4 linked regions of the Elephas maximus indicus genome follow. The protein of the gene in region 2 binds, or shares a complex with, the protein of the main gene of each other region. Links are inferred from orthologs where the notes say so. Each region holds a gene or a part of one and is shown on either strand. Other genes may lie near its edges.

Region 1 (7,128 bases), on a different chromosome or scaffold from region 2:
TCCATCAAGTCCCTGAACCTCTTTGCTCTCTAATTCTTCATCCGAACAATATGGAGTTGTTCTAGAATTATCTGTGAGGGTTGTGCCAGTTCTGAAGCACATCTATCATAGGGCACTTTCTGCCCTATCCTCTCTTGGGGTCTTGGTCATGTGCCCAATGGGAACAGTGAAGTTCAGGGCTGGGCTGAGACAATTCACTGGGATTAAGTCAGGAGAAAAGACCAGAATTAACTGGAAATAACCCCGAAGGACAAAGAAGTGGGAGAGGAGGAGTCAGGGAATGTGTTAGGAAAGACCTGTCCTTCAGGGAGTTATTGTACTGAGCAGTTGGCCTCTGACCCCTGGCCCAGAGGCGACTTGCAGAAGCGGTGCAATGGCCCAGGGGCAGGGGCCCCTGCCCCGCAGGTTACACTGGGGGACATTACTTATTCTTGAAGTCTTCCACGACGTCCTGCGTGTTCCTCAGCTCCAGCTCCAAGCGCCCCCCATCTACCTGCAGCACCTCAAGCTGCCGCCGAAGGGCAGCAATCTGGGCCTCAAAGATGCCCGGGAGGTGGCTGCTCTTGGCTGACTTCTGCTTCTGCAGCAGTGCCCACTTGGTCTCCAGCAGCTTGTTCTGCTGCTCCAGGAACCGCACCTACAAGGGACATAGAATGGGAACTCATGAGGGGCCCAATGGCACCCCCCACCGCGGAGCTGGGAAGGGCCTCCAGCCACCCAGCTGAGCCTATGTTCCCACTGGCTATTCGCCTGACACCAGTTCCCAGCCCTTGCCCCTCTCCTCCAGGAAGCCCACCCTAAATAAGTCTCTCTTCCACAACTCTTTCTCAAGTGTCCCAGAGCGTAACCCAGGGACTAGTCCTGCCTAGTTCACAATGTACTTCTGGTGCCTGGCTCTCAAAAAAATGTGCTTGGGAGTCTCCTCCCTCCTTCGCTCCCATCGTGTTACGGTACCCTTCTCTACCTCCCTCTCTGAGGGCTGCCCTCTTCATATCTGTGTCCTCAGCTGACAAGGCCTGTCTCTCCCCTCAGGCTGGGAACTCATCTCTTCCCTCGTCTGTATCCTTTCGTTCCTTCCCCTTTCCTCCGTGGAGGCCTCAGGACAGGGCTCTGTGTAAAATGTAAAACGAGCACCCACTATGTGGCCAGCCCTCTGCCAGCCCTGGGGCCCAGAAAGGCCCTTAGAACCACCCACTGTGGCTGGGAGTAGGAGGCAAGAGTAGCCATCTCAAAGCCCAGGACCTGGGGACTGAAGAAGTAAGATAGTGCGGCTCAGTGACAGGTGGAGTCTAGGCCTGGATGGCCTGGCTTCAGGGGACACTGGAGGATGTGTACAGTCTGAATGATAAAGGAGAGGAGGACTCTCAGGGTGGGATGATGGAAGGGAAAGAGTCAGGGAGGTGCACAAAATCAGAAGACGCAAAGCCTGGTCTAAGCTAGTGGGAGGGAGCTCTGGCCAGAGGGGCCCAACTGGGCCAGGCCTTAGTTCCTGAGTCCAGCTATGCCCACCTTGCCCCCACCCCTTCCAGGCCCACCAGTCATCTGCCCCATGGGTGGGGCCGATGTGAGGCAGGAGCAAATAGCCAGGAGAAACGCCTCCCCAGGGTCCCTCAGTGCCACCTCCCCGTTCCCAACTGAGCTATCTCCAAGAACAGGTGTGTAACCTCACTTCCTGCCACCAAACAGAGGCTCAAGGACCAGGTAGGTGGGGCAGGTGAGACCAGGAGCCTCCCTCCCTCCAGCCCTTTATTTCTATCATCTACCTCAGCATGGGCAGCATCTGAGGGAGGCGAGGATCTCAGCAGCTGAGAAGGGCATGTCACTTCCCACCCCTTCCCTGACTCCACCCAGCACCCTCAGGAGAAGGGATCTAGAAAGAGAGCTCCTGGTCCTGTCCTCTGGAGCTCCCAGCCTGAAACTGGTGATGCAGCTGCCCCCAGTAGCCCCAGCGGATCACAGACACAGCCAGCCTGGGCAGCTGGACAGATCTCACCCTCACGCTCTGGGAGAAAAACCAAACCCATTGCTGTCCAGCAACCCTGTAGGGCAGAGTAGAACTTCCCCATAGGGTTTCCAAGGCTGTGACCTTTAGGAAAGCAGACTGCCACATCTTTCTCAAACCGCCAACTTCTCAGTTAGCGCAGCCGAGCGCTTAACCACTGCGCCACCACAGTTTCTCTCTGCCAGGAAAGGGAGGGGCGGTTGGGGCAGCTTGCTGGAGGAGAGGGCTTGGATCCAGAGGTGGGCAAAATAGCGTCAGGGTTAGTGGGCCGGGAGCAGGACTTGAGAAGGCATCCCCCGATATTGGCAGAAAAGAGGAAACGGGCAAGTCTCCCAGCGCCTAGCCAGTGTGCCAGCAGGGTTTGGGTGGCTGGTGTGGCCTGGAGCATGGCTCGGGGCAGGGTCCGTGCAGGGCTCACCTTGTCGATAAAGGAAGCGAACTTGTCGTTCAGGGTCTTAATCTGCTCGCGCTCCTCCTGGCGCACCTGCTGGATGGAGGGGTCGATGTCCACAGTCAGCGGGGCCAGCAGGCTCTGATTGACGGTGACCTCGCGGATGCCGGCGCTCACTGGTCCTCCGTAGGCGGAGTGCAGAGTAACGCGCGGCCGCGAGGCGCTCAGACCGTACAGGCTGCTGTTGCCGAAGGCCCCGGGGCGCGCGGAGCTCAGGCGCACCTGGGCGCCACGGCCGGGCAAGGCGGCGGAGCGCGAGCTGAAGACCTGGGAGCCGAAGTGGACTGACATAGCGGCTACGCCGGCTGGACAGAGCAGCAGGCAAGGCGCAGCAGCAACTCTTTGACCTCCGGTGTACTCGGCCTCTTTTATCCGCTGGGCCGGGCGGATCAGCTTACACAGGTAGGGGCGGGGCTGGCCACGAGCCACCTTTCGCTGCCAGACAGATCCCTCCTGGGGCCGCATTTCCGTCCTCCGCGCCGCCCTCCTCGCCGGGGCCCAGACTTTCAGTCCAAGCAAGAGCGGTCCGAAGCGGGGAGGGAGGGTGCGGCTGACGTAGACCCCTAGGCCCCCAGATGCAGGCAGGCGCCGGAAGCTGAGAAGGGCTCAGTCAGGGAAAGCTTCCCAAAGGAGGCTTGAGCAAGGTATGAAGAACATCCAAATTCCTGAGGCCAGAACAGGGAGACCAGAGGGTAAGAGACAGGGGCGGGGGGGTGGGGGGGACAAAAAAGTTTCAGTCCTGGGAGTCAGCTCCCCCAGCAGCTGAAAGCCAAAATGGCATCCCTCATCCCCACCCCAACCTTCCAAAACCAGCTCCTCCTCCAGAGATCAGCTCAGGTCTTGAATAATCTGACCCCAGGATGTGCCAGACCTCGGTGAGAGGCTGCTTGAGCTTGGCCAAGCTGGTCTCCCTGACCACATCCCCCCACCTCATTCCACGCTGAGTGGGGCATGGCCTGACTTCTGGCCCACTCCAATAGGCAACTGAAGCCAGTGGGAATGGTTACCTTGGGCCTATGCTTCCCCAACCCACCCCGACTCACACCCCTGCCCACCTATTTTATTTGCCCCTGTAGAGAAAGGGGACACCTTTGTGTATTTGTGACACTTCTGTGTACACAGCTGTGAGTCATTGGACTTTGCATAGGCATATATGCGTGCATGTCTGTATACATACTTACAGAAGTGGGAGTCTGTGTACGTGTGCCTGGGAGGAGGGTCTGTGGATATATAATTGCACGTTTGTATGCATATCTGTGTGCTACCTGTTCTGTCAATTCTGACTCATAGTGACCCCATGTGTTACACTGTAGAATTGCTCCATAGGGTTTTCTTGGCTGTAATCTTTATGGAAGCAGATCACCAAGCCTTCTTCCGAAACACCACTGGGTGTGTTCGAACCACTAACCTTTAAGTTGGTAGCTGCTTGTGTGATCCTTTCTGTGTGCTTGTGCTTGTATTTGCGCTCAAACACTCCTCCCCATCCCCCCAGCTCTGCCATTTTCCTCTTTAAGGGCCGCCAGGTCTGCCACCAAGAGTCACTCATCTACCAGACCTCCCCCACTGAAGCCACCACCAAACAATCCCCAGCAGTTTCAAACCGAGTCCAAGAGGGGGGTAAACATTGTGCTGGAACAGAACACAATGGACAGTCTTTGCTAACTGAGTGCTGGCCTCACTCCCTAGTAGCCTGGAGCCACACAGGCCACACCCCCTCCACTGCGGGCGGGGTGGGGGAGGGGGTCAGGTTCCAAAATTCCCAGACCTTGCTCAGGGACAGCCAGAGGAGCCTTTGGAAAAGACTGCTGAAAGGCCTGTCACCTTTAGCCCACCGTTAGCCCCACCTGGATGAGCTGGACAGATTGTCACCTTAGACAAGCCCTTAGGGGAAGTCCTGGGTGGAGAAGGGTGGGGATGGAATGCCCTTCCTGGTCTGACATTTCAGTTAGACAAGAGATTACTCCCGGTGAGGCTAAACCTGTGGCAGTCGCTTCTCAGCACTCTTGGGGGAGGCCTTCCCCTCACCATTGTTTTGAGGGCAGCTCAGTCCAGAGGCAGAGGGATGCCCACGGAGACAGTGGAGTCTGCTGTGTGTGTGTATGCATGCGTGTGCATCTGTGTGTGTGAGAGAGAGAGAGAGGAAGGGAGAAAGAGAGATTTAATCTCAAATTCTCAGTTATAGATTTCCTGGTCCTGTGATATTTGCAGTCATGGAGATTCTGCTCCAGCCACCCACACCTCCGCCCCCAGCCTCCAAGTGGGCAAAGGAGACTAATTGTTTAATTCACACACACACACACACACACAAATGCACCCACTCTGTGCTTACCTCTCAGGACTCCTCCTCAATCTGCTTTTCCATTCTTCCCCACATCCTCTCCCACCTTCAGCCCTCCCCCAGAATCTGTACTCTGGAGGAAGCTGTGCCCTACCCATGCCAGGAATTCCTCCTCTAGAGCCTGGCCTGAGAATCTTTGGCAAGGCACTGCCAGTGACCTGCCTTGTCACCCTGGATGCATCATTCCCCCTCCCCAGGCCACTTGTGTGGCCCTTCCACTTACCTAACACCTGGAAGGGCACAGGGGTTGTAGAGGGAGTTGAGGGAGGGATTGCAGAGAAAGGGCCTATGAGCCATGGCTTCAGCCTCCCGTTGAGCAACATTTCCCATTGCAGCCCCTGCCCACTGTCAGCCCTCAGCCTCTCCATCACCCGCCCCCCTTCAAGCATTCCTGGCAGCTCCAGCCCCCTCACTGTCCACCTGTCTACATTCACAGGCCAACACTGGGACCCCACTTGGTGCCAGGCAGTGTGCATAAACACCCACTGGAGGGGTCCTCAAGAAACTGTCAGCACTGAGAGCCAAGGATCCCTGCCCCACAAGAGCGTGCAGTCTAGTGGTTCATCCAAACTCAGCTCCCCCTCCCCCCCAGCCCATGCCTCTGTCCATCTCCCAGAGACCACCTTATGGGATTCTGGGCAGAATCTTGAGATAAATTAATCCTACAAAGCCCTTCCCCCAGTAGTCCTTTGCCCACCCCCAAAGACTCATTCTCATCTTGTAGTATTCTGTGGCACCCCCCCCAAGCCCACACTCAACTTGTCCTCCCACTTCCTACCTCCTTTCCCACCGCGTCTTCTGGAGTCCAGATCTGAGCAGACAAGCAAGCCAGTCCCTCAGCCCTTCTAGGCTTCACTGAACTGTCCCAGACACCACAGCTGCTCCAGCCCTGGTGGAGGAGCTTACTTCTCCTCTTCCAGACAGGTGGGGGAGACATTCTTTTTTGCTCCCTTCTGCAGTTGTAGAAGGAGTCCTCGGGTGGTGCAATAGGTTAAGCACTCAACTACTAGCCAAAAGGTTAGCAGTTCAAACCCACCCAGAGGCACCTTGGAAGACAGGCCTGGTGATCTGCTTCTAAAAGGTCACAGCCTTGAAAACCCTATGGAGCAGTTCTACTTTGCACACACGGGGTCTCCATGAGTTGGAATTGACTTAATGGCAACTGGTTTGGTTTCTGGTTTTGCATTTGCAGAACCATTACTCATTGTCTATCCCATAAAAAACGTCCCCTGATTGGCCAGGGAAAAAAAGAATTTTTTTTTTAATTATCTTGGAATGCAAAGACTGGTAGTCATAATAAAAACTATTTAGTATTTCTGTATGAAATATAATACAAAAAAAGGTCAAATGGTAAAGGACAAGGAAGCTATACATAAGCCAGCCAACAGGCTAATTTCCTGATTGTACGAATTAGTAAGAAAAAGACAAACAACCCAGCAGAAAAGTGAGCAACAGGCATGAATACTATGAGCTATTGTTTGTTGTTGTTGTTAGTTGCCATGGACTCGGCTCACACTCATGGCAGCCTTATGTAAAACAGAAAGAAATGGTGCCCAGTCCTGCTCCATCTTCACTGTACTTACCACGATTTTGCCTGGCACTCTTCTAAGTACTTTGCATCCAATTAACCCATTTAGTTCTCACAATAACTTGCGATGCAGGTGTATGTTATTGTCCTTATTTTAAGAGGGGAAACTGAGACACAACAAATTTAAATAAATTGCCCAAGGTCACACAGCTAGTATGTAGAAAAGCCAGGATTTGAACCTTGGAAGATGGACCTACTAAATTACTTCCGTGAACAGGTAAGGTAGTTCATATAAAAAAAGAAAACCAAATAGTATACATGAAAAAAGAGCTCCACCTCATCAAATTAAAGAAATGTAGTAAGAATAGCAATGAAAAGCAATTTTCATCTATCAAACCCCCAAAGACTAAATTGTGTTATTAATAACAGCACTGGCGGGTGTGTGGGTAATAGAATGCTTTGTCCTTTCTTGGTGAGGTTACCAATTTGTGCGTTCTCTTTGGAGGGCCAGTTGGCAATAGCTATCAAAATTAAAGACATCTGCCCTTACCTCAATAAATAAATAACTTGTCCTTTGACCAAGTAATTCCATTGCCAAGGACTCATCCTACAGATGTTCTCACCAAATGTGTGCATATGAATGTGGTCTCTGTTGCCATGGTTTGATAGTAGCAAAAAACTCAAAACATGATAAATGCATAAAGGGAAGTGATTTAATGAACTGTACTATGTACATTCAAAGGAATACTGTTTATTAAAAAGAGTGAAACCCTTTATATACTGGTGGAGTTTTTACCTGTGTGTATTGG
Region 2 (7,235 bases):
TTTTATGATTAAAAGTACTTTTAAATTATAAATCATAGGTAACATCTAAAGATGCAATGAACGTTATTCCTTAGCCCTTAGTTAACATCCAGAAACAAAACATAAAACGTGTGATTTGCAAGGTCACAAAGACTTACTAATGTCAAATAACCTACTGGGAAACATAATGGCTTTAGGTTGGATTTGCAGGGTGGGGGAGGTGTACTAGTAACAATGTATCTCTTTACCTGGGTGTGTTTTTACTCTTTATATTAATGTTTCTATATTTCGCAATTTAATTTTTTTAAAGGGTGACTCTAGAAACTGAACATAAGGAAAAAAACTAGAAGTCAAAGTGCTATTTTTAAAACAGCTGATAAACAAGATAAATACATCTGTCAAGAGCCAAAATATTTAAAGGGGTCATCCAACAATTTAAATAAAGACCCAAGATTATATTGCTCTTCTACCATCCCAAAACTCACAAGGATACTAAATTAGCTAAGCCCCACCCACGCTGTTTTAACACTAGCATTTTCCAAAGAGCTCTGGCACTGAAGAATTAAGACACTGAAAACAACCCTATATAAACCAAGCAGTTACCTACAACTGTAATGGTTTAAAAAAAAAAAAAAGGAAAATGCTAATATAAAACATCTGATAAAGTTCAACAAGAAATGAATACCAAATAAAAAAAACTTTGCTATGTGTGACTTAATTCAGATACAGAAAGATAGAGGATATGGCTAAAAAAATGGCTAAAGCCCCCCAAAAACCAAACCAAACCAGTTGCCGTGGAGTCAATTCCAATTCCGACTCATAGTGGCCCTACAGGACAGAGCAGTACTGTCCCATAGGGTTTCCAAGGAGCAGCTGGTGGATTCGAACTGCCAAACTTTTGGTTAGCAGCCAAGCACTTAACCGCTGCGCCACCGGGCCTTCGGGGGGAGTGGGGGGACCTAGCAAACTGCCCAAGTCTCAATCTCAAATGCTTATTTGAACAGTAATGCGTTACTGGGAATCTGACCATGGCACTTTAACAAACAACATGCCTAGATCTATCTAGATGGTTGAAATGGGAAACCACGGACAAATTATTTAAACTCTACCAAGGTCACAGTGACAAACTCAAATTTGAGCCTAGCACCCCAATCGTTCAAGCTGGTGTGTGTTCTGGAAAGCAAGTAAATTTTCTGACTGGAATGCACAGCTGACCACGAACACAAAGAGCAGAGGGACTTGCATCCAAATCTGGGGGAGTTTACCTCTCTAGTAGAAACTACAAGATTACATTTTAAATAATTCTTCAGAGCTTCCTAGCTCCTTATTTTAACACATTACTTTGTCACTTTTCAAAGTTGCTTATCTGCTATTATAACACTTCCTCTAATAAAATAACACACTCAGAAAAGGGCAAGCTAGTACATAACCAGAATCTTAAACCTTTAAAAATCACTATGGGGCAAGGAGGAGGGGACCACTGACTAATTATTAATCCCACCACCTATAATTATGGATAAGAGACTATTGAAGATTCACCTATTACTTACAGCACAATGTCCAAAAATAACAAATAAAAAACCTTTGACACATTTCAACCAATAAACAAACAAAAAAAAAACCTCGTAGGAAACCTTAGAACCACCGCTCAATCCCCCCTCCCTCCCTGCCCCAAACAGCCTCAATATGGAAAAGCAGCTAAAGGAAACCCCTAGAATTTGGTTGGGTTTTTTTTTTGTTGTTCGTGTACCAAATGCTTTCGACTGAATTGTCTAAAAGGGCAACCGCCTTGCACTTGTGCAGCTACACTCCAGTTGCTTTACAAACTCTTCAAGCAGGGATGAAACTTAAAAATACATACACCCTATGAAAAAAAGAGACTCTGGGCTATAGGATGGGGATGGAAGACCCAGAGGCGGCGGCGGAGGAATACATTGAGAAAGTAACACAAAGCGAAAATTCTGAAAGCAGGATGGTCAGTGCGAAAAAAGCGCACCAGGCTGGTTTGTCCCACAGGGGTAGGAACTGGACCACAAAGCTTACAACCTCTGGAAGGAAAGGGCGTGGTACCCCGCGAGAGGGAAAGGAGAGTAGGGTGGGAAGTCCGGGCCAGCGGCAGCATGCGGAATTGGGCGACGGCAAAGCGAACCCCTGGAAATTTCCAATCCAAACCCGGGCCACTCAACCGAAAGAACACTAGAAAGGCGCTGCCCAGCGGGGTGCTTGCCCAATGTCCCCACTTCTCAGGTTCCTTGCAGCAACCGGCGAGCTTCTGCTCGTCTTTGGGTGATGCAAAGCGGGGATATGATTACACCGGAATGGCACCCCCGCCCTAGATTGACAAAGAACCAAACCTGGCTAAGGCGGAAGGGTTGGAGGGGGCTGTGGAGAGAGAAGAGGAGAGGGCGGTGAACTGGTTTCGGACAGAGAACGGTAGTGAACGAAGAGTGAAAGGGCAGGGATTCCAATGCAGTCCATTCTTAGCGCGCACGTGTGCTAGAAGCGTTCCGAGTAGAACGCGAGAACACACACATTGAGAAGCCAGAAAGGACGCAAAAAGCAGAAAGAATGAAAGAGATAAATGCTTGAGAAAGGCAAGACAGAGGAAACACCGACCAGATGCCGGTAGAACACGAACAGCTCAGCAATGCCACTGATGTAATGGGGGCGGCTAGAGGGAAGGGAGGGGGCGGTGAGAGGCAGAGAACGGCGCGAGACCCCGAAGCGGCGTCTGCTAAGATAGAACTGGACACCGATACCTGTGCTGTCGGCCACGTTGCCCACGGAAGACGCCATCTGGAGCTTCTTGGGGGAGAGCGAGGAGGGGGTAATTGAGTCCCGCCGCCGCCGCTAGTGGCAACAATGTTTCTGGAGGTAGTGGTAAGAGAGCAGGAGCTGTACTGGTGTCCTGTGAGTCTTAAGCGGCGGCAGGCGTCATAGGCTTCGAACCTTAGGAACTCTGGTTGACCATCTACCTCTCACGATCTTGAAATGGCGGCGACGGCTCCTCGGCCGAAACAACACGGGCCGGAACTACTTTCTGTTACAATCAAGTACCAGAGCGGAGGTAGCGCGGTAACCGGCGCTACAGACGACAAAATGACTATAATCAAAGTCGCTTGCTCTTATGTAGCCTTCCGCGTAGGGCCCATTGCGACAAACACGATTGTGTCGAGAGCGCATGCGAGCAGCCCTGTCAACCTGACTCGCGTCTAGGGCACACTGTCTAGGGCATGAGCGCCCAAGTTTTGTTTTGTTTTTTTATTATAGTGAAGCATAAGGTTAAAAAAACCCATACATTTGCCGCATAAATTTTTTCCGAAGTGGTAAAGTATCGCCAATGATGTAGATTTTAAACATAAATGCCAAAGGAGTCTAAAAAATTTAATCAAGTTTATTCACACAAAAAATGGATAGTTACAAGGCTGATGATTACAAATCATGGATCAGTTCTAAGCAAGTAAATGTAAATAATCTTATTTAAAAGCTGAACTGTTCTTCAAAATGATGGCGGAGGGGGTTCCAATTTGAACACGTCTTAATTCAGACCCCAGACATTGATGAAAACGACTGATACTTTTCACAGGGCCAAATGAATGCAAACATCTCAGGTTTTGGTCATATAGCCCAAAATTTGAAAATCGTTTTGGTATTCAGGATAGTTCTGCCCACATTAATGGGGCAGATGTTAATGCTTAATAACTCAGGGACACCCTGAGGGTTTGCACTCCAAAGGCAGGCATTGAAATGTTAAATGACTCATATTCGTCAAAATCCATGACTCTTCTGAGTTGTGGCTTCATTTCCACCAAATAGCTCTGCAAATCATCACAATCTGAGATTCCACTGAGCTCAGAAGCAGTTCAACAGAGATAAATGAATTCATTTCCCATCTGCCTAAACCACACATCTAGTTTGAGTCTGAATTACCTCCACTTCCTTGAACAAATCAGCTCTTATTATCCCACTGCAGTTTCAAGTCCGTGTTCAGATATGTTGTCACATTAGTATTAATTTATACCTCATATCTTGTTTCAGAAAGGATTTAAGACAGCTTGCCACATTAGCAAGAAATTAGTATAAGCCACTAGAGGCCATGATTTGGATCTCTAAGTGTCCTTTTATTTCAAAAAGTCCTTGGTCTAAGAAAGCAGGTCAGTGAATTTCTTCAAAAAGTTTTTACTACTACATTAAAAAACAAAAAAGTCCTCAATGCTCTGCTTTAATTTCTTTCAGACAGTCCACAAACTTTTTAATTATGGATAGGAGCACAGAGAAAAGTCATAACATGATCATTTCTTCCATCACATAATCAGGAGTCACATCATGCAGTGAAAAAGACAAACTGCACAAACCAAACCCACTGCCATCGAGTCGATTCCGACTCACAGCGACCCTATAGGATAGAGTAGAACTGCTCTGTAGGGCTTCCAGGGAGCGCCTGGTGGACTTGAACTGCCGACCTTTTGGTCAGCAGCCTTAGCACTTAACCACTACACCACCAGGGTTTCCTGACTGCACAAACTGTCCTGAAAATCGGGCACCAATCTCTTAATTGGATTTAACTGGTAAAATCTTTTTTTTTTTCTTTCCCCTCTCACTAAAAGTACCCCATCTGTGATGAATAAACTCAGTTTTTCAACTTTTAGAACAGACTTCTCAAATTCTATTGGCAGATGTTTGGGTCTAACTGATTAACAGGTGATAGCTAATTAAGTAGAATGCTTTATGTTGTTAAATGCCAGGTAATGCTCCCTGCATTTGGCCCGTTGAAACTTGTGGTCTAAGGCTCCCCACCCTGAGAGAAGAGTCAAAGGATATTATGATACAATTTTGCTGCTAGGGAAAGCAGGATGGTGGGGCTCACAGGGGCACAACAAGAAAAAAAAACTCTGTTGGAATCTCAGCAATCTCATTCCAGGTACCTTCTAGGAATAGCATTTGGAGGGTTTAGCTTGAAGGACTTAGTCATCAGACAAACACACCTTCTTCAGCCAATCAAATAACAATTACTAGAGTCTCTGTATGCAAGGCAGTGTGGGGGATACAGAAATGAACAAGACAGGATCCTTGCCCTCAAGGAACTTGAAGCCTAGCCACTAGAGAACAATACAGGAGAATATTATTTAAGTGATAAAATATGTTCTTGTGTGTGTGGCTAATTGCCTCCATGAACAACTGCCTCCTTAGCCATGAGGCAAGAAGAACTGGATGGTGCCTGGCTATCATTACTAAACATTTTGATCAAAGATTCTATAGAAAAATCCTGATCAAAAGGGGGGAAACACAGAACAGATTTTCAAATTCTCATAGATGCCACACTTTCTGGAACCATGGAGGTTGGGTGAACCTCTGAAACTATTGCCCCAAGATAACCTTTAAACCTTAAGCCAAAAATATCCCCTGAAGCCTTCTTAAAATCAGACAACAGTTTAACTTAACTAGTAAAGAATGTCTTCCTTGAGTATTGTGCATTTTTAAGTTCTATCTATATGGGATCAAATTGGCAACTTGAAAGATTAGACAGGAAACTTATAAGGGGCAGTGAGTTTATGCTAATGGAGAGGAACAATTCAGAAAAGGAGGGTGAGAATGGTTGCACAACTCGAAGAATATGATCAATGTCCCTGAACTGTACATGTAGAAATTGTCAAATTCATGTATGTTCTGCTGTATATATTCCCAACAACAACAAAAATAAATTATTTTTAAAAAATATGTTCTATCTAAACACACAATATAGGCGAGGTCAGCACAACTGGATTAAACCAAAAGCAAAGAAGTTTCCTGAATACAGCTGAACACTTCAAAGGCCAGAGTAGCAGGGACAGGGTTTTGGGGACCATGGTTTAAGGGGACATCTAGGTCAATTGGTGTAACAGAAAGTATTAAGAAAACCTTCTGCATCCCACTTTGGTGAGTGGCGTCTGGGGTCTTAAACACTAGCAAGTGGCCATCTAGGATGCATCAATTGGTCTCAATCCACCTGGAGCAAAGGAGAATGAAGAACACCAAAGACAAAGGTAAAGATGAGCCCAAGAGATAGAAAGGGCCACATAAACCAGACTACATTCGTCTGAGACCGGAAGAACCAGATGGTGCCCAACTACCACTAATGACTGCCCTGACAAGGAACACAACAGAGAATCCCTGATGGAGCAAGGGAACAGTGGGATGCAGATTTCAAATTCTAGTAAAAAGACCAGGCTTAATGGTCTGACTGAGACTAGAGGGATCCTGGAGGTCATGGTCTCTGGACCCTTTGTTAGCCCAAGACTGGAACCATTCCTGAAGCCAACTCTTCAGACAGGGATTGGACTGGACTATGGGATAAAAAATGATACTGGTGAAGAGTGAGCTCCTTAGCTTATGTAGACACATGAGCCTATGTGGGCAACTCCTGTCTGGAGGCAAGACGAGAAGGCAGAGGGGGACAGGAGCTGACTGAATGGACACAGGGAATACAGGGTGGAGGGGAGGAGTGTGCTGTCACACTAGGGGGAGACCAAGGTGTATATAAGTTTTTGTATGAGAGACTGACTTGATTTGTAAACTTTCACTTAAAAAAATTTTTTTTCACTTAAAGCACCATATATATGTGTATATATATATATAAAATATATATATGTATATATATATATACATATATATATATAAACACCAAAACCAAAACCCACTGCCATCGAGTCAATTCTGATTCATATATATATATATATATATATATATATATATATATATATATATATATATATATATATATGTTTCTGTCTAAAAATACCTGGGGAGAAAACAATCACTTCAGGCTGGAAGGAAGGTGAGGGAGAAGGCCTGAGCTGGGCATTGAAGGAGGTACTTTTGCGTATTTCTTCTCTTTCCACTGATTTCTCGTTCTTTTTCTTTTCTTTTTTCCCTTTCATGTACAACAATTTTTATAAATCAGCTGTTTCTTCAGCTCCAATCCCAAATTTTGCCACCCTGATAACACCATTAATGGTGTATTAATTTTCTATTACCACATAACAAATTACCACAAACTTAGCAGCTTAAAACAGCACACATTTTGTGGCAGCCACGCCAGAGTTGTGAAAGGAAGCAGAGCCCAGTGTGCTGCCACTGCCGCTGCCAGTGGAAAATGGCTCCAAAGGTAAAACGAAGCGGGGAAAATACACCAATGTGGCATTGTAGCCTCTCCAGATGTTTAGGGATAATATTCCAGAGAAAAACCAATTCCTCTGAATTAGGTAACCAGTCATAAT
Region 3 (7,317 bases), on a different chromosome or scaffold from region 2:
GGGGGGGGGCAAACTACTTAACAGCTCCAGAGGCTCAGTTTTCTTATCCGAGGACTATGAGAATTAAATGAGTTAACAACTGTAAAGCACAGAAAATACAAGAAATCAAACAGTTAAATTCTTCAACCAGTATTCTGTTCTAAGTATTATATGGGGTGAGCTTTATACTCCATTGTACAGCTCCACGAGACTAACATCCCATGTTATCTCACATTATACATAAATATAAGCTTCATGTGGGTAGAGATTTTTTATCTGTTTTGTTCACTGCTCTAGCCCCAGCACCTGTAACAATGTTTGGGAAATCATTTGCCAATGGAAACCCCGGTGGCGTAGTAGTTAAGTGCTATGGCTGCTAACCATAAAGGTCAGCAGTTCAAATCCACCAGGCGGTCCTTGGAAACTCTATGGGGCAGTTTTACTCCATCCTATAACCCTGGTGGCCTAGTGGTAAAGTGATACTGCTGCTAACCAAGAGGTCGGCAGTTCAAATCCGCCAGGTGCTCCTTGGAAACTCCATTGGGCAGTTCTACTCTGTCCTATAGGGTCGCTATGAGTGGGTTTGGTTTTGTGTTTTTTTGTAGGGTCATTATGAGTCAGAATCGACTAGACGGCAACAGGGGGAAGGGGCAAGAAATATTTGACCAAGGAGGGAACATTCATTTACTAGGTAAACTGGGCTAAGAAACTGAGACTAGAGTTTTAAAAAAATATCAGGTAATCAAACATGAGTTTTCAAAAATAATTCACTTACCATCTACTATGTGTCACTTATGTTTAACACTGGACTTATAAAACTTAACCTCCATTGAGTTGAAACACTTTAACTACATGGTGATAACGCTTGTTCTACTTAACGTACAGGATTATACTGAAGGTAAAATAAGAGCTTGTTTAGTGGTGCTTATGCCCTTGACAAAAACCAAACCTAGTGCTGTGGAGTCGATTCCGACTCATAGCAACCCTATAGGACAGAGTAGAACTGCCTGGAGGATTTGAACTGCTGACCTCTTGGTTAGCAGCTGTAGTACTTAGCCACTATGCCACCAGGGTTTCCTATAGCGACCCTATAGGACAGAGTAGAACTCCCCTGTACAGTTTCCAAGGAGCGCCTGGCGGATTCGAACTGCCGACCCTTTGGTTAGCAGCCGTAGCACTTAACCAGTACGCCACCAGGGTTTCCTACAGGGTCGCTATGAATCGGGATTGACTCCACGGCACTGGCTTCTGGGTTATGCCCTTGCCAAAAAAGGGTCCTCCTCTTTGCCTGACCACAGGGGGCATGAGGGATAAACAGGAACATGGCCTATCCAGTTAGATCACCCGAGTATGTGAAAAAGCTTTGTAAACTCTAAAGCGCTGTCAGCACGAGTGTCTACTATGAACCACGAACTACACATTACCTTGTTTAACCTTCAGAACAGCTCTGTGAGGCAGGTACACACATCTTCACTTTAAAAAAAAAAACACATCTTCACTTTACATACCAAAAAACTGAGGCTTGGAGTGGTTAAGTAAGTTGTCCAAAGCCACCTAGAGGGGTCAGGTTCTAAGGCCACTATACTACTTTTTTTTTCCTGTAGATATAACAAAGGGGCGTGGGAATTAGCAATTGAATTAGAAGTCTATTAACGCCAGAAGAGCAAAAAATGACTTTACTCAGCAGGGTGACACCTGGGCAAGAACACCCTATTAAGACAGTAAGACCTCGGTTAGGCCTTTGCATCCTGAACATTTTTGCCCGACTCCTTCCACAGACTGTAAATGAAACGACTTCAGAAAACCAAGTGGACTCGTGTTTAAATGCCGCACATACTGGCAGTCGAACAGCTGACAAGCCATCGGACTTCCGTGTCACTCCCCATTGGCCCGGGAAGGGGAGGTGCCCGAGGCGTTGACGGTCACTGGCTAGACTGCCCGTTTTTCTCATCTGCAGCCCGGTGCGAAGAAAAGAACAGAACGTGCCCGGGTCCCGGAGACTGTAAGAGCCCCCTCGGCGACGTCTGGGGTGGTCCCAGTCCTGACCTCCTAGTGACAGGTGGGGGCGTGGGTCTCTGACCGGGTAGTCACTTGGCCCGGGGGAGACTCGTCGTAAAAAATAAACACACCCCAAAATTCAGCAGCGCGTGCACTTAAACGGACGCAATGCCTGCACGAAGGCGCCTAGAGACGGGCTGCACGCCGGGGTCTGGCAACGCGGGCACTGCCCCCTGGCTCCCCACGGGCTAGCGGCGCCGGTGCGATCCCTGGCAGTCGGCCCGCGGGCCGGGCAGGGGGCCGGAGGGGTCACGCCGACCCATCTCTGAACCGGCGACCCCAGCACGACCTCGGCCTGGCTGTCACACGCCGAGAAGAGCAGCGAGAGCCGGCTGGCGTTCGCTCGGCGCCGCTAAGACGGCTCTGCAGGCGCGGCGTCCAGGCTACGGCGCGGAGAGCGCGTCCCCGCCTCCCCGGCTGCGCTCCGCGGGTCCGAGCGCTGCCCGGCACCGACCCCGGGCAACAAGGGCCCCGGGCGACAAGGCCCCCGGCGACAAGGCCCCCGGGCGACAAGGGCCCCGGGCGACAACGCCCCCCCGGCGATAAGGCCCCCGGCGACAAGGCCCCCGGGCGGGGCGCACTAGGCCGGCCCGGCCCCAGCCCCGGCCGGCTCACCTCCAGCGTGTAGCTCTCGCTCATGCGCCGGTAGCTCTCCCAGGCCTCGGCCCGCGCCGTCTCGTCCATGTTGAGGCGGCCGCACAGCTCCTCGAACCGCAGCTGGGTCTGAGCGACCGGCGACAGAGCCGCCTGCGCGGAGTCCTCCGCCTCGCCTTCGCCCTCCTCCTCCTCCTCCGAGGCCGCCGCGGGCGGCGGGGGCGGCGGGGGCGGCGGCGACTGGTCGCTTCCCGACGGCATAGCGCACTCTGGGCGGCAGGTCCTCAGACGAGCCGAGGGCCAGGGCCCGGAGCCATTCAAACCGCGAAGGCCCGCCTGTCGGCCGTCCTCGCCGGACTGCGCCGCCTCCAACGGCGCCGCACCTCAAATAGGCACCCGTAGTTCTGGGCGTGGCCTGCCGGGAAATGTAGTCCGGGCCGGGTGCCCGCGGGGGCCAAACGCAGGACCGACAACCACGTCCGGGGCAGTGGGTGGGCGTCTCCCTGCGACCGAGCTGGAAGGGCACCTCTGCAGTATACGTACCTCTCGGTCGTGAGGGGGGCCATCGTGGCTGTACTGCCTAAAAACCTAGCCTAGTGCCGTGCTGTACTGACATCCAAGAAACATGGATGGATACACGAAGGCTTATTGTCCGAGCTGTTCCCAGAAATCATACTTGCTCGTTATCTGAGTTACTTTAGCTAAAAAAAAGAAAAATAGCAAGGGGCTAATTTGCCTAAATTCAAGTCACAGCGCCATTCCTAATTTCGAGTTTTTCCTATGTTTTAAGTTTATGTGACCTTTTAAAGTAATTATTGTTTTTTTTTTTAAATCTTTCTTTAATGCAATAATTCAATTTTTCCAGTGGGCAAATTTGCATTCTCTATAAGTGACATTGGAAACCCTGGTGGTAGAGTGGCCAAGAGCTACGGCTGCAAATCAAAAGCAGCAGTTCGAATCCACCAGGCGCTCCTTGGGAAGTACCAGGCAGTTCTGCTCTGTCCTATAGAGTCGCTATGAGTCGGAATCGACTCGACGGCAATGAGTTTGGTTTTTGGTTTTATGAGAGACATAAAGCCCTGGTGGCGTAGTAGTTAAAAGCTATGGCTGTTAACCAAAAGGTTGGAGCCTGGAATCCACGCTATGGGGCACTTCTACTCTGTCCTATAGGGTCGCTATGAGTCGGATTGATGGCAACAGGTTTGATTTTTGGTTTTCATAAGGGACATATTTGCACTATCATCAACTACCTACCCAGTTGGCTTAACTTTATTCCCTTTTTTATGTTTTTACTTGTTCTTTTCATATGTGTAGTAGACTTGAGTCACTTTAATTCCAGTTCTGTTTGTTTTTAGGGAGCCCTCGTTGCACAGTAATTAAGAGCTGGGCTGCTAACCAAAAGGTCACAGCTCAAATCCACCAGCTGCACCTTGGAAGACCTGTGGAGCAGTTCTGGTCTGTTCTACAGGGTCCCTATAAGTTGAACTCACCCACGACAGGTTTGGTTTGGTTTTTGATTCCTGCCTGAGGAATTGTAAGACATTGCTGTTATTTTTATTTTGCTCAGTGGGTTATCTAAACTGAGGAAAAGAACCCAAGTGCTAGGCCAAAAGAAGGAATTTTTGGAAGCTATAATGTATAGGAAGGAGAGACCTGGGGTAAGAAAAGGAACTAAAGCAAGTAACAGGATGTTTTAGGAACAATTTTTATTCTATTGTTGTTGAAAGTATACACAGCAAAACACAGACCAACAGCTTCTGCAGGTACAATTCAGAGGCATTGATTGCATTCTTTCAGTTGTGCAAACATTCTTGTCCTCCTTTCCCAAATTGTTGCTCCACCATTAACATAAACTCACTGCCCTCTAAATTTCGTATCTAATCATTTGAGTTGCTGTTGTCACTTTAACCCCATGTACACAGTTCTTAAAAGAGCACAATACTCAAGGCGGGCATTCCTTACTTCACAGTTCTTAAAAGAGCACAATGCTCAAGGCGGGCATTCTTTACTCATTAAGCTAAACGATTGTTTGGTTGAAAGAAGACTGTAGGGGATATTTTTGGTTTAAGGTTCAAAGATTATCTCAGGGCATTTAGTTTTGGGTTAGGAACAATTTGAGACAATGAAACCCTCTCCCTGAAACCTTCATTAAAATTAATGTTAATTAGTATGCTTTTAGATTTGGATTTGCTAAGTGCTGAGTCTCAAGGTGACTATGGGGCAAGAACAGAGGCCCAATATGAATGGTTTATAAATTTTTTTTTTTTTTATAAAAAATTCTAGTACTTTCCTTACATTTAGGCTGAGGACACTAAACTTAAAAATAATGATCTTGTTTATTTTGGGTACCATTATCAATACTGTACTAGAGGAAAAACTTGAATTGTTTACTGAGGTAAAATTACCTTTGCCATATTTAGTAGAGTTATTTTTATTACCATCAAATATGTATTTTATTAAAATAATATTTGCTTGTCAATATCAATATTTTCAAGTCCTTCTGTGGTGGATTGTCCCTAAAATGGCTACAATGGTATTTCTAGTCTCACATGCTCTTCTAGAACTTGCCATTGAAACCTGAGGGTGAGGGGAGGGGGCTCTTGAGATAACGTGATTTCTGAGGCTTGCTCATAAAATACAATACAGCTTTCATCTCCTGCCACACCTCCCCCCGCCCAGCCCCCAGATGTTCACGCTTTCAACCCAGCCACGACACTGAGGAAGCCTGGATCACATGGAGGAGCCCATGGCCCTCAGCCCTAGCCATGTTCAGTGAGCCAGCTTGGAAGCAGATCTTTCAGCCTTCGGTTCGTTGTCCCAGCTGGTTGACCCAGCTGACACCACAAGAAGCAGGGAGTTGATTCGGAGTCATAGCGACCCTATAGGGCAGAGTAGAACTGCTCCATTGGTTTCCAAGCCTGTGATCTTTATGGATGCAGACTGCCACATCTTTCTCCTGCAGAGCAGCTGATGGGTTCAAACCTCTGAACTTTTGATTAGCAGCCTAGCCTTAACCACTGAACCACCAGGACTCCTTAAACTTGCTATAAAAAAACAAAACTTGCTACACAACCCAGCAATACGACCTCTAGGTATTTACTCAAGAGTAATGAAAACTTAGGAGCTGGTCCATGAGAGAAAGATGTGGCAGTCTGTTTCTGTAAAGATTTACAAGCATGGAAACCCTATGGAGCAGTTCTACTCTGTTCTGTGGGGTCGCTATGAGTCGGAATTGACTCGATGGCAATGGATATAGTAAAATTATATTAAATGTCATGAGAAATGGCCAGACTTTATAATGGCTATACCATTTTTCATTCCCTCTCACAATGAAATTAAATTTTTTTTTTTCCTTTGATCATAAGGCTCAAAGTGTTAAAAAAAAAAAAAATTCCTTCTGGATTGAGTTATTAGAACCATGACTTCAACTGTGTTTGTGATTTGTTTCCCATAGGTATTAAAAAAAAAATGTGTTGCTATCAGTAAGAGCTGTTTGTTGGTTGGTTCAATTTCCAATTGAGGGTGCTAATTTATATTTCACCTGATATGTGGAGTCTCTTGTTGATACCTGAGTTTATTCACACCTTAATTCTGGTTTATTCAGTCAGGTATTCGTGTCCTTACGGACTGATACTGTTGAGAGAGGGTCATGCTAGAACCCTTTTGTTAACCATCTGATGTTCTCTTCTCCCAAGAATTGTGTGCCTCGCTAAGAGCCACAAAAACTGTTTAGAATCAGGCTTGACCGGTCCCAGCACCCTCTTGGTGACCTATAGAACATTAAGTGCCTCATGCTTATTAACTCCTCTGCCCCTAGGTGGAGTATAGCTGCCATTTTTTGAATATGTGACCTATGTAACAGTATGTAGGCCCCACTACACCTGTGTAATATGACCAAGAATGTTGTTAATGTGAGTTACACAATCTCTTTGGATGTCAGCCTTATAAAAATAACTGTCCACTACCCCTCGCCAAGCAGGAGGCACTACCCCCAACTGTTCCTTTCCTTGTGAAACGAAATAAAGGTGCCTTTCTGATCTCTCACCTCGGCCTCTTGGTTATTGGCTATGACAATTTGTGCCAAGCAAAACCTGGGGTTTCCCACCTGACAATGCTCTGGGCTCAGTAAGTCTGCCCCTTAGACCAGCTTTGGGTATTGTGAATGAGAATTTGTGGGCTAAAAATTCAATCTACAGTGTAAACTATGAACAATTAACTAGATTTAATACACAGGGAAACCTTGGCACTCCAGGTTAAACACATCCTGTCCTTTTGGCCCATTCTGCTTTTATGAACAGCTATTGCCCACAAGGCTCATTGACGTGGGCTTTGCTCTACCTCCTCTCAACTGAAGGAGCTCTAGTGACACAAAGATAAAGCTCTCACCTGCTAACTGAAAGGTCTGCAGTTTGAACCCATGAGCAGTTCTGCAGGAGGAAAGACCTAGAGATCTACTCCACGATCTGCTCTTCTAAAGATTTCGGCCTAGGAAACCTTGAGAGACAGTTCTGCTCTGTCATATATGGTGTTATGGATTGAATTGTGTCCTTCAAAAATGTGTGTCAGTTTGGCTAGGCCATGAGTCCCAGTATTGTGTCATTTTGTCATCTGATGTGCTTTTCCTATGTGTTGTAAATCCTACCTCTATGATGTTAGTGGAGTGGGATTAGTGGCAGTTATGTTCAT
Region 4 (7,834 bases), on a different chromosome or scaffold from region 2:
TGTTTGGTTGAATTCCCCCAGTGAAGCCACTGGTCCGGGACTTTTTTTTTGTTTGTTTGGTCGGGAGGTTTTTGATCACTGATTCAGTCTCTTCACTTATTATGGGTTTGTTGAGACTTTCTATTTCCTCTTGAGTCAGTTTGGACAGTTTGTGTCCTTCTGAGAATTTGTTCTATTCATCTAGGTTATCCAGTTTGATGCCGTACAGTTGTTCATAGTATTCTGTCATAATTTTCTTTATTTCTCTTGAGTCAGTTGTAATGGCTCGCTTTCATTTTTTATTTTGGTCATTTGCATCTTTTCTCTTTGTCAGTCTAGCTAAATGTTTGTCAATTTTATTGATCTTTTTAAAGAACCAACTTCTAGTTTTATTAGTTCTTTCTGTTTTCAATTTTATTTATTTCTGCTCTGACCTTTGTTGTTTCCTTTCTTCTGGTAGGTTTAGGCTTAGTTTGCTCTTCTCTTTCTATTTCCTGGAGTTGTTGAGTTAGGCTGTCGGTTTGAGAGCTTTCTTCTGTTTCATGTGGGCATTTATTTCTATAAGTTTCCCTCTGAGTACTGCCTTTGCTGTATCCCGTATGTTTTGGTATGCTGTGTTTTCATTTTCACTTGACTCTAGGAAATTTGTGATTTCTCTTTTGATTTCATCCTTTACCGACTGGTATTTTAATAGTGTGTTGTTTGATTTCTAGATGTTTGTGTATTTTCCAGGTTTTTTGTTTTGTTTTGTTTTTGATATCTAGCTTCACTTCATTGTGAACAGAGAAAATACTTTGTATGATTTCAATCTTTTAAAATTCGTCAAGATGAGCTTTGTTACCTAATATGTGGTCTCTCTTGGAGAGTAACCCCTGTGTACTGTAGGAGAATGTGTTTTCTGCTGTTGTTGACTGGAGTGTTCTATACATGTCTGTTAAGCCTACTTGGTTTACAATGTCTTTCAAGTCCTCTGCTTCCTTGCTGATCTTCTTTCTAGATGTTCTGTCCGATATTGAAAGTGGTGTATTGAAGTCTCCAACTATTATGGTAGTATTATTTCTCCCTTCAATCCTAACAGTGTTTGTATATTTAGTTGCCCCTATATATATATATATATATATTTATGATTGTTAGATCTTCTTGATTAACTGATCTTTTTATTACTGTTTTCATTGTGTTTCTTGGTAGTAATCCATTCACCCATCATTTCCTCCTCGAATAGTGCCTAGTATATAGTAGACGTTCGAATTCTCAGCCAATGAAAGATTAAACGAATTGGATATTTATTTACATTATCCTTTGACCTTTGTCTTTTCACAGGACTGTGCTTTTGTTTTGGTTTTCATTAAAAAAAAAAATAGACTATATTTTTTAGAGTAGTTTTAGGTTTACAGAGAAATTGTGCAGAAAGTATAGAGAGTTCCCATCTCCCTCATCTACCCTCATCACACAGTTTCTCCTGTTATTAACATTTTGCATTCCTGTGGTAAGTCTGTTACAATTGACGAACTAATATTGACACATTGTTACTAAACTCCATTGTTTACATTAGGGCTCACTCTTTGTGTCCTACAGTTCCATGGGATTTGACAGATGCGTGGTGTCATGTGTCCAGCATTACAGTGTCATGCAGAATAGTTTCACTGCCCTAAAAATACCCCCTGTTCTACCTGTTCATCTCCCCCTCCCCGAGCCCTTGGAAACCACTGATCCTTTCACTGTCTCCACAGTTTTGCATTTTCTAGGATGTGGTAGAGTTGGAATCATATAGTACCTTTTCCAGGCTGGCTTCTTTCACTTAGCAACACGCATTTACGGTTTTTCCATGTCTTTTCCTGGCTCGATAGCTCTTTTCTTTTTATTGCTGAATAATGCTCCATTGCATGAATGTACCAAAATTTGTTTATCCATTCATCTACTGAAGGAGATCTTGGTTGCTTCCAATTTTTGGAAGTTATGAATAAAGCTGCTACAAACATTTATGTGAAGGTTTCTAAGTAGACATATATTTTCAACTCATTTGGGTAAATACCTAGGAGTGTGATTGCTGGATCTCTTGGTAAAACTATGTTTAGCTCTGGAAGAAATTTCTAGACTGCCTACCAGAGTGGCTGCACTGTTTTGCAAAGGACTGGCGTAGGAAGTGCTCAAAGAGAGGATCATTGCTTGGCCTGATGAGTGAGTGACTAGATGGACGGAGAAGGTGCTAGAAATTCGAGGCTAAAAGTCTGGCCTCACTTCCCGTTTTGACTCTGGAGGAAACTGGTGTCATTGGCTAGTGTGGGCCCGTTTCAGAAACTTGGCTGGTCATCCCTTCCTCGAAAGCCTCTTTGAGAGGGGCTAGTCTCTACATTCATTTCCTCTCACATACCCTCTCTTCCTTCCCTCCTAGGATGCACCTCTCCCTCACTTTGGCCACAGCAGGCCTGGCCCCCGTGACTCTCCAGGGCTTGAACCCATCTGGGACTTTTCCCCTGTTGTGAACAAAACCATCTCAGGGGGCTGGATTCCCAGGAGTACCTAGTGGGTGCTACCTGGGGGACCAGAGCAAGACACAGCCAAATTGTCTTCCTTGAGGCCAGGCAGTTGGCTGGATCGTCATCTGAACTTGAATTTCACTTTCTTTTTCTGTTGTGCTCAGGACTGCATCCTAAGTCAGCCTGAAGATTTGTGGAAAAGAAAATCCAGAACTCAAAATGGGTACATCCACGTTGTCATCACGACCGGTTAGCCTCTTTCTGAGTAAAGATCAACAATAATTTTCAGCTTTGTTTAAAGCCTCTTTAATGGATTCTCTGAAATGCTCTAATTACAAATGATTACCCATCGAAGAGCTCACAAGCCCTTTGGAACTCCTCCACATGCTCACGAGGAGCTCAAGCTGTCTGAGGTGCTCAGGCAAGAGGGGGGCAGCCCTCTTCTTCTTTAAATCATGTCGTTTGGAGAGTTTACTAAGGCAAGCAGGCTTTCTCTCTTTTTGGTCTGAGGCAATGGGCTCTTTCTTCACTTTCCATCTGTTTCCGTCTTGTTATCCAGCAAGAAATTAGATGCCTTTTAAATTATATGGAAGTCTCTTTCTTATCAAATACCACCACAATGCTTTCCGGTTTACACAGGATTCTGCAATGTATTGTCTCTTTGAACTTCATGAAAACCTCTGAGGGAGACTGGAACATCCACTTTTTAGACTAGGGTTTCTCAGCTTCCATACTATTGCTGTTTGGGGCCATACACTGTACTGGGGGCTGCACATTGTAGGATGTTTGGCAGCATCCCTGGCCTCTACCCACTAGATGCCAATAGCAGCTTCTCAATTGTGACAACCAAGAATGTCTCCACACATCACGCAATGTCCCCTGGGGAGCAAAATCACCCTTGGTTGGGAACCATTGACTTAAATCCATTTTCAGATGAGGAGGCTGGGGCTCAAGTGAGGGGAAGGGCCCATAGATGATGAGTTGTAGAGCTAGGGCCTGCCAGCCTCTTACCTTCCCTTCACTAGATGGCCTATAAAACCAAAAGAAGCCAAACCAGTTTCTGCCAAGTCGATTCTGACTCATGGTGACCCCAGGAGTTCCTGAGTAGTGCAGTTGGTTAAGTGTTTGACTACTAACCAAAAAGTTGGCAGTTCGAACCCACCTAAGGGAGCCTTAAAAGACAGGCCTGGTGATATGCTTTGGAAGGGTCACAGCCTTGAAAACACTATGAAGCAGTTCTACTCTGCACATGTGGGGTTCCCATGAAGATGGTCCATACTAAAACCCACTGCCATCGAGTTGATTCCGACTCATAGCAACCCTGTAGGACAGAGCAGAACTGCCCCACAGGGTTTCCAAGGCTGTAATCTTTATGGAAGCAGACTGCCACATCTCTCCCATGGAGTCATTGGTGGGTTCCAATCACCGAGCTTTCAGTTAGCAGCCAAGTGCTTAATCACTGTGCTCCCAGGGCTCCTTAGGATGGTCCATAGGAGCCTCCAAGACTAGCAGAGCCCTCCATCTTGTCCTGCCATCCTGTCATCATCATCCCAAATGAGAATGCCTTTCCTGGTGAAATTCTCTCCTGGGGTTGAAGCATTTCATGCCTTTGCTCTTCCGTCTCCCTTCTGGAAGATCTGTGAGCTGGGAGGACAGGCTTGGACGTCTCGCTGTGATCTCCATGGTGCCTGCACAGGCCTGCAAGCAGGGAGGACAGGCTCGGACGTCTGGCTGTGATCTCCATGGTGCCCGCACAGGCCTGCGAGTAGTGGGCCCAGTGAGTCTGCAGATCTGGGCATGGCACCACTGATGACCCCGTGAGTTAGAGCCTGCTCCCTGGTCCAGGATGGCTCCCTCGCTGGGTGTGAGAAGAGAAACTCAACCTTGGGTGTGAGAAGTGAAACAAGTGAGAAACTCCTCAAATATCTGGATGTTCCCCAAGCAGTGGGGGTCACTCTTGATGACCTAACCTACCTATCCATCCCAGTAGCCTTGCAGGGTGGTGTGGCTGGAAAAGGTGGGGCCAGAGGATCCCAGATGCAGAACGCCTGCTCCCGCCCTCCTCCTCAGAAACTCAAGAGGAGAGATTGAAGGGAGTTGAGTGCTGAAAGAGAAAAGAAAACAGAAGTTTCCATTTGTACCGGATGGTTTTGTTTTTTTATCTGTTTGCAAATGTTCACTCTAACGGTTTGAAACCTAGCGGGTGTAGCTGCTGCCGCCCACACATGAAGCTGCAGTGGTACGGAGCTCTAGCTGGCAAACCGTATTACCAGCAACGGCCATTACCCGTCCCCACCCAGAACAGGCTCAATACCTACCCCCGCTGTCCCTAGGCCACCCCCTACCGCCCCAGCACCCCAGACGCCCACCACCCTCCACACACAATTTCTTTCGTTCTTTTTCTTCTTTTTTTTTTTTTAAATTTCCAGCACTCGGCTTTCTCTAGAGAAGGCATAAAGAGAAGCAAAGGCAGAAATGGGACGAGCAGAGAGACTGCTCCTGCCTCGTCGGAGCCACCAGCTTTCGGGAGCGAGCGGCAGCCCCCACCTGCCTGTGGACTGACCCCTGAAAGGTGAGAGAGGACTTTGATTTCTTTGTGCAGCTGGAGGTCTGGGAAGCAAGGCCGGATGAAGGGGTCTTATCACGGAGCCCCGGCTGCTGCCTTTCGAGTGATTCTATCCGGCAAGCATGATGGATGCCTCCTCCAAACACACGCAGTGTCTCCCACACAAGCCCCCTCTCGAGAAGGCCCCCTCTCACCAGGGCCTCCTGCTCCCCTCCTCCATCTTCCAGCCCAGCCCCCCAAAGCTAAGATATGGATGAAGGGATTATTCTACTTTAAGCCTAACCTGTTGATTTTCGACTGAGGCTGCCAGGCTGCTGACCTTTCCTTCTAGTGAGCAGGACCCAGGCTTTCTGGACAATATGGAATGGCTCTCCACCCAAGGGGCTTTGGGAAGCCTGTTTCCCTAGTGGCCTCAAGCCCGGTAATCAGAAGCAGTCAGACCCAGCTGCCCAGCTACTCTGTATGAAATAGTCTTCTTTCCTGGTAGAAATCAACAAAGTTTACAATAGAAGGGACGGTGATCAGAGACTCAGCTACAGAGTGCTGTGCGAGGTGCAGCAGGCCAGGACATCCACAGGGGAAATGCTGAGCACAAATTAGGGCTCCCCACCATGTGAACCAGGAAACAAAAAAAGAAAAAGGGTTTCCTTGCTTATGAAGCATGTTCGTGGGTCGAAGGGTAGCCGAGCGGGGCCATCTCCTCTGGAAGGCTTAGCCCTCTGAACAAGGACAGAGAGAAAGGAAGAACAACAAAGCTGGGAAGGTAGACAGAAAGGCCATAATGTAAAGCATGTAACAGAGCAGACAAAAGCTCCCAGCTCTGTGCGTGAGGGATGAATCAGTTGGCAGAAGTCTATTTTTAGAGTTCCCAGGATCTGATGCTACATCTTGCCTGGCATTAATTAATGTCACAGGCATGTTTTCAGCCCCATGTTCTGAAGGGCCTTAGCACGTCACTCAAAGGAGGTGGCCCTCATGGACGGGCCCTCTCTGGGCCTCATGGGGTCTGGGCTCCTACACAAACACGTGTCCTGGACGTTCCGCTTCTTGGCCTTGTCCCCACCAGGTGTATCCGTTAATCTCCTGGCTCCAGCCCTTGGATATCTGGCCACAAGCCAAGGGAGAATTACAATTGTTATGGTTTGTTTTTCAAAAAGGAAAGCCTGAACAAGCTGAAATTGGAAAAAAGATGTTGCCTCATGGCTTGGGATTAAAAAAAAAAAAAGGCTTTGGGGGCAACTCTACGACCGCGAGGAAGAAGGATGAGGCCCCCCTAATCTCCAAACAAGGCCGATTCGACAAAGTAGATTTCATAACTGAGGAACGTATTCCAATGAAGTTTAGAGAAAGTGTATAATATTTTAGCAAGAAGGCATTATATGACTGGGGTGATCAGATGCTGGCTGAAATAGCGTGTGAGGCTAATTACCCCCGCAAAGCTTGGCCCCATTTCAGAGCTGAGGCTGTAAATCTGAAGAACAATTTAAATGCAGGAGTGATTGTAAGCAGCACGCCTTGTTTTCTGAGGTGATAACAGGATAACAGTGCAAAAGGCAAGAACGAGAAATGGAAGGCCAAGTGGGAGTCCAACTGTTGGGACAACCATGTTTGTACATTCGCAACAATTATTAGGTCAGTGAGAAAGTGCGGATATATCATGGCCACTGATTAGGAGACACATCCCTTAAACTCTCTTAAATTATTCGAAATATTCTACCATTATCATGGAGTCCGAGCCTCTGGTGGTACAAACAGTTAAGCACTCGACTACTAACCTAAAGGCTGCCCCAGAGATGCCTTGGAAGAAAAGACTGGCAGTTGGCTTCTGAAGGCCTTGACAACCCTATGGAGCACAGCTCTGCTCTGAAACACACGGTGCTGGAAACGACTCGATGGCAACCGGCTGCCATAGAGTCAGACTCAGCCGTTGACTAGTGAGTTGTCCAGCGACATTTATCAAGGTAGTCATCCTTTCACTCATAAGTCATTTGTCATTGGTCCATCCAAGACGGGCATGACCGATGTCCCAAGAGTAGGCTGGAAGGATCCCAGGATGACCTGTGGCACATGGCCATTCCATCTGATAAATGGAAAAATGCAGAGTAGCTGATCTCCGCTGACCCTTGCCAAACCGGTTTCCAGGTTTTCAAGAAAGATTGCCCCTGAGTTTCTGAAAGTCTTGAGGAGAAAGATCACAACCACCCAGAGGGTATGAGCAAGCAGGGTGCCCACGACTTTGGGTCTCATGCCTGCTGCGAGGTTCAATTCCATCCTTTCACCCAGAGAGCTGATTCAGGGCTCTTAAGTCACTCATCTCACCTCCATGTGTCTGGGGTGAGTCCTGCCCTCCCGGCTACACTCGCACACCGTGGACACTCTTTGTCACACCCTTTCCCAGGGCATTCTGAGCCTGGGAAAGGCAGGCACAGTTGGGTTGTTCTAAGCTGGAACCCTGAGTTCAGCCTTGGCAAGAGGCCATGGGAGGAGCCAGGAGACGGTCTCTCCATTCGTCAGGAGGTCCTCTGGCCCGTTCCAGGCTGGCCATGTCTGTGACCACAGATGTATGGGGTGTGTGTTCTTCTTGGCATGTCACACAAGGCATGTGGCTTCCAGATCCCTGTCCTCTGCCATCTGACCAGAGGATGCCACTAGGAAATCAACGGAAACGTCCTCTGGTGCCCCAAACTGAAGTCCTTTTGCTGTTTGGTTGTTTCTTTATGCATCTGACATGGTTTGACATGCAAGATCAGATGGGAAAAAACCCAGTTGCCATCCAGCCAATTCTGACTCCTGGCAACCCCATGTGTGTCAG

What was found.
Region 1: the proteins of OGT (region 2) and KRT7 are in contact, whole or in part, in a crystal structure (PDB 4XIF), measured with the Homo sapiens proteins. The link is inferred for Elephas maximus indicus from reciprocal best matches to the Homo sapiens genes OGT and KRT7. Residues at the interface, in NP_858058.1 of Homo sapiens: His506, His508, His509, Asn567, His568, Pro569, Tyr642, Thr643, Lys644, Gln849, Phe878, Val905, Ala906, Pro907; in NP_005547.3 of Homo sapiens: Val9, Phe10, Thr11, Ser12, Arg13, Ser14, Ala15.
Region 3: the proteins of OGT (region 2) and RBL2 are in contact, whole or in part, in a crystal structure (PDB 4XI9), measured with the Homo sapiens proteins. The link is inferred for Elephas maximus indicus from reciprocal best matches to the Homo sapiens genes OGT and RBL2. Residues at the interface, in NP_858058.1 of Homo sapiens: His506, His508, His509, Asn567, His568, Pro569, Tyr642, Thr643, Lys644, Gln849, Phe878, Val905, Ala906; in NP_001310537.1 of Homo sapiens: Thr417, Pro418, Val419, Ser420, Thr421, Ala422.
Region 4: the proteins of OGT (region 2) and ZNF831 are in contact, whole or in part, in a crystal structure (PDB 8FUF), measured with the Homo sapiens proteins. The link is inferred for Elephas maximus indicus from reciprocal best matches to the Homo sapiens genes OGT and ZNF831. Residues at the interface, in NP_858058.1 of Homo sapiens: Phe723, Ile734, Met779, Ile787, Ile790, Asn791, Arg792, Gly793, Leu808, Ala809, Thr831, Arg832, Ser833, Gln834, Tyr835, Gly836, Leu837, Pro838, Glu839, Arg877; in NP_001371283.1 of Homo sapiens: Phe937, Ser938, Pro939, Lys940, Tyr941, Leu942, Leu943, Arg944, Leu945, Pro946.

The regions. Positions count from the first base shown.
Region 1 is NC_064822.1:107,628,371-107,635,498, reverse strand, and holds the start of KRT7 (keratin, type II cytoskeletal 7), read right to left. Parts: upstream 3,003-7,128; 5' UTR 2,919-3,002; coding exon 2,421-2,918; intron 638-2,420; coding exon 426-637; intron 1-425.
Region 2 is NC_064846.1:98,167,477-98,174,711, forward strand, and holds the start of OGT (UDP-N-acetylglucosamine--peptide N-acetylglucosaminyltransferase 110 kDa subunit), read right to left. Parts: upstream 3,008-7,235; 5' UTR 2,776-3,007; coding exon 2,739-2,775; intron 1-2,738. UniProt on the Homo sapiens protein: Catalyzes the transfer of a single N-acetylglucosamine from UDP-GlcNAc to a serine or threonine residue in cytoplasmic and nuclear proteins resulting in their modification with a beta-linked N-acetylglucosamine (O-GlcNAc).
Region 3 is NC_064839.1:19,998,019-20,005,335, reverse strand, and holds the start of RBL2 (retinoblastoma-like protein 2), read right to left. Parts: upstream 3,016-7,317; 5' UTR 2,893-3,015; coding exon 2,653-2,892; intron 1-2,652. UniProt on the Homo sapiens protein: Key regulator of entry into cell division. Directly involved in heterochromatin formation by maintaining overall chromatin structure and, in particular, that of constitutive heterochromatin by stabilizing histone methylation.
Region 4 is NC_064843.1:9,963,119-9,970,952, reverse strand, and holds the start of ZNF831 (zinc finger protein 831), read left to right. Parts: upstream 1-4,824; 5' UTR 4,825-5,028; intron 5,029-7,834.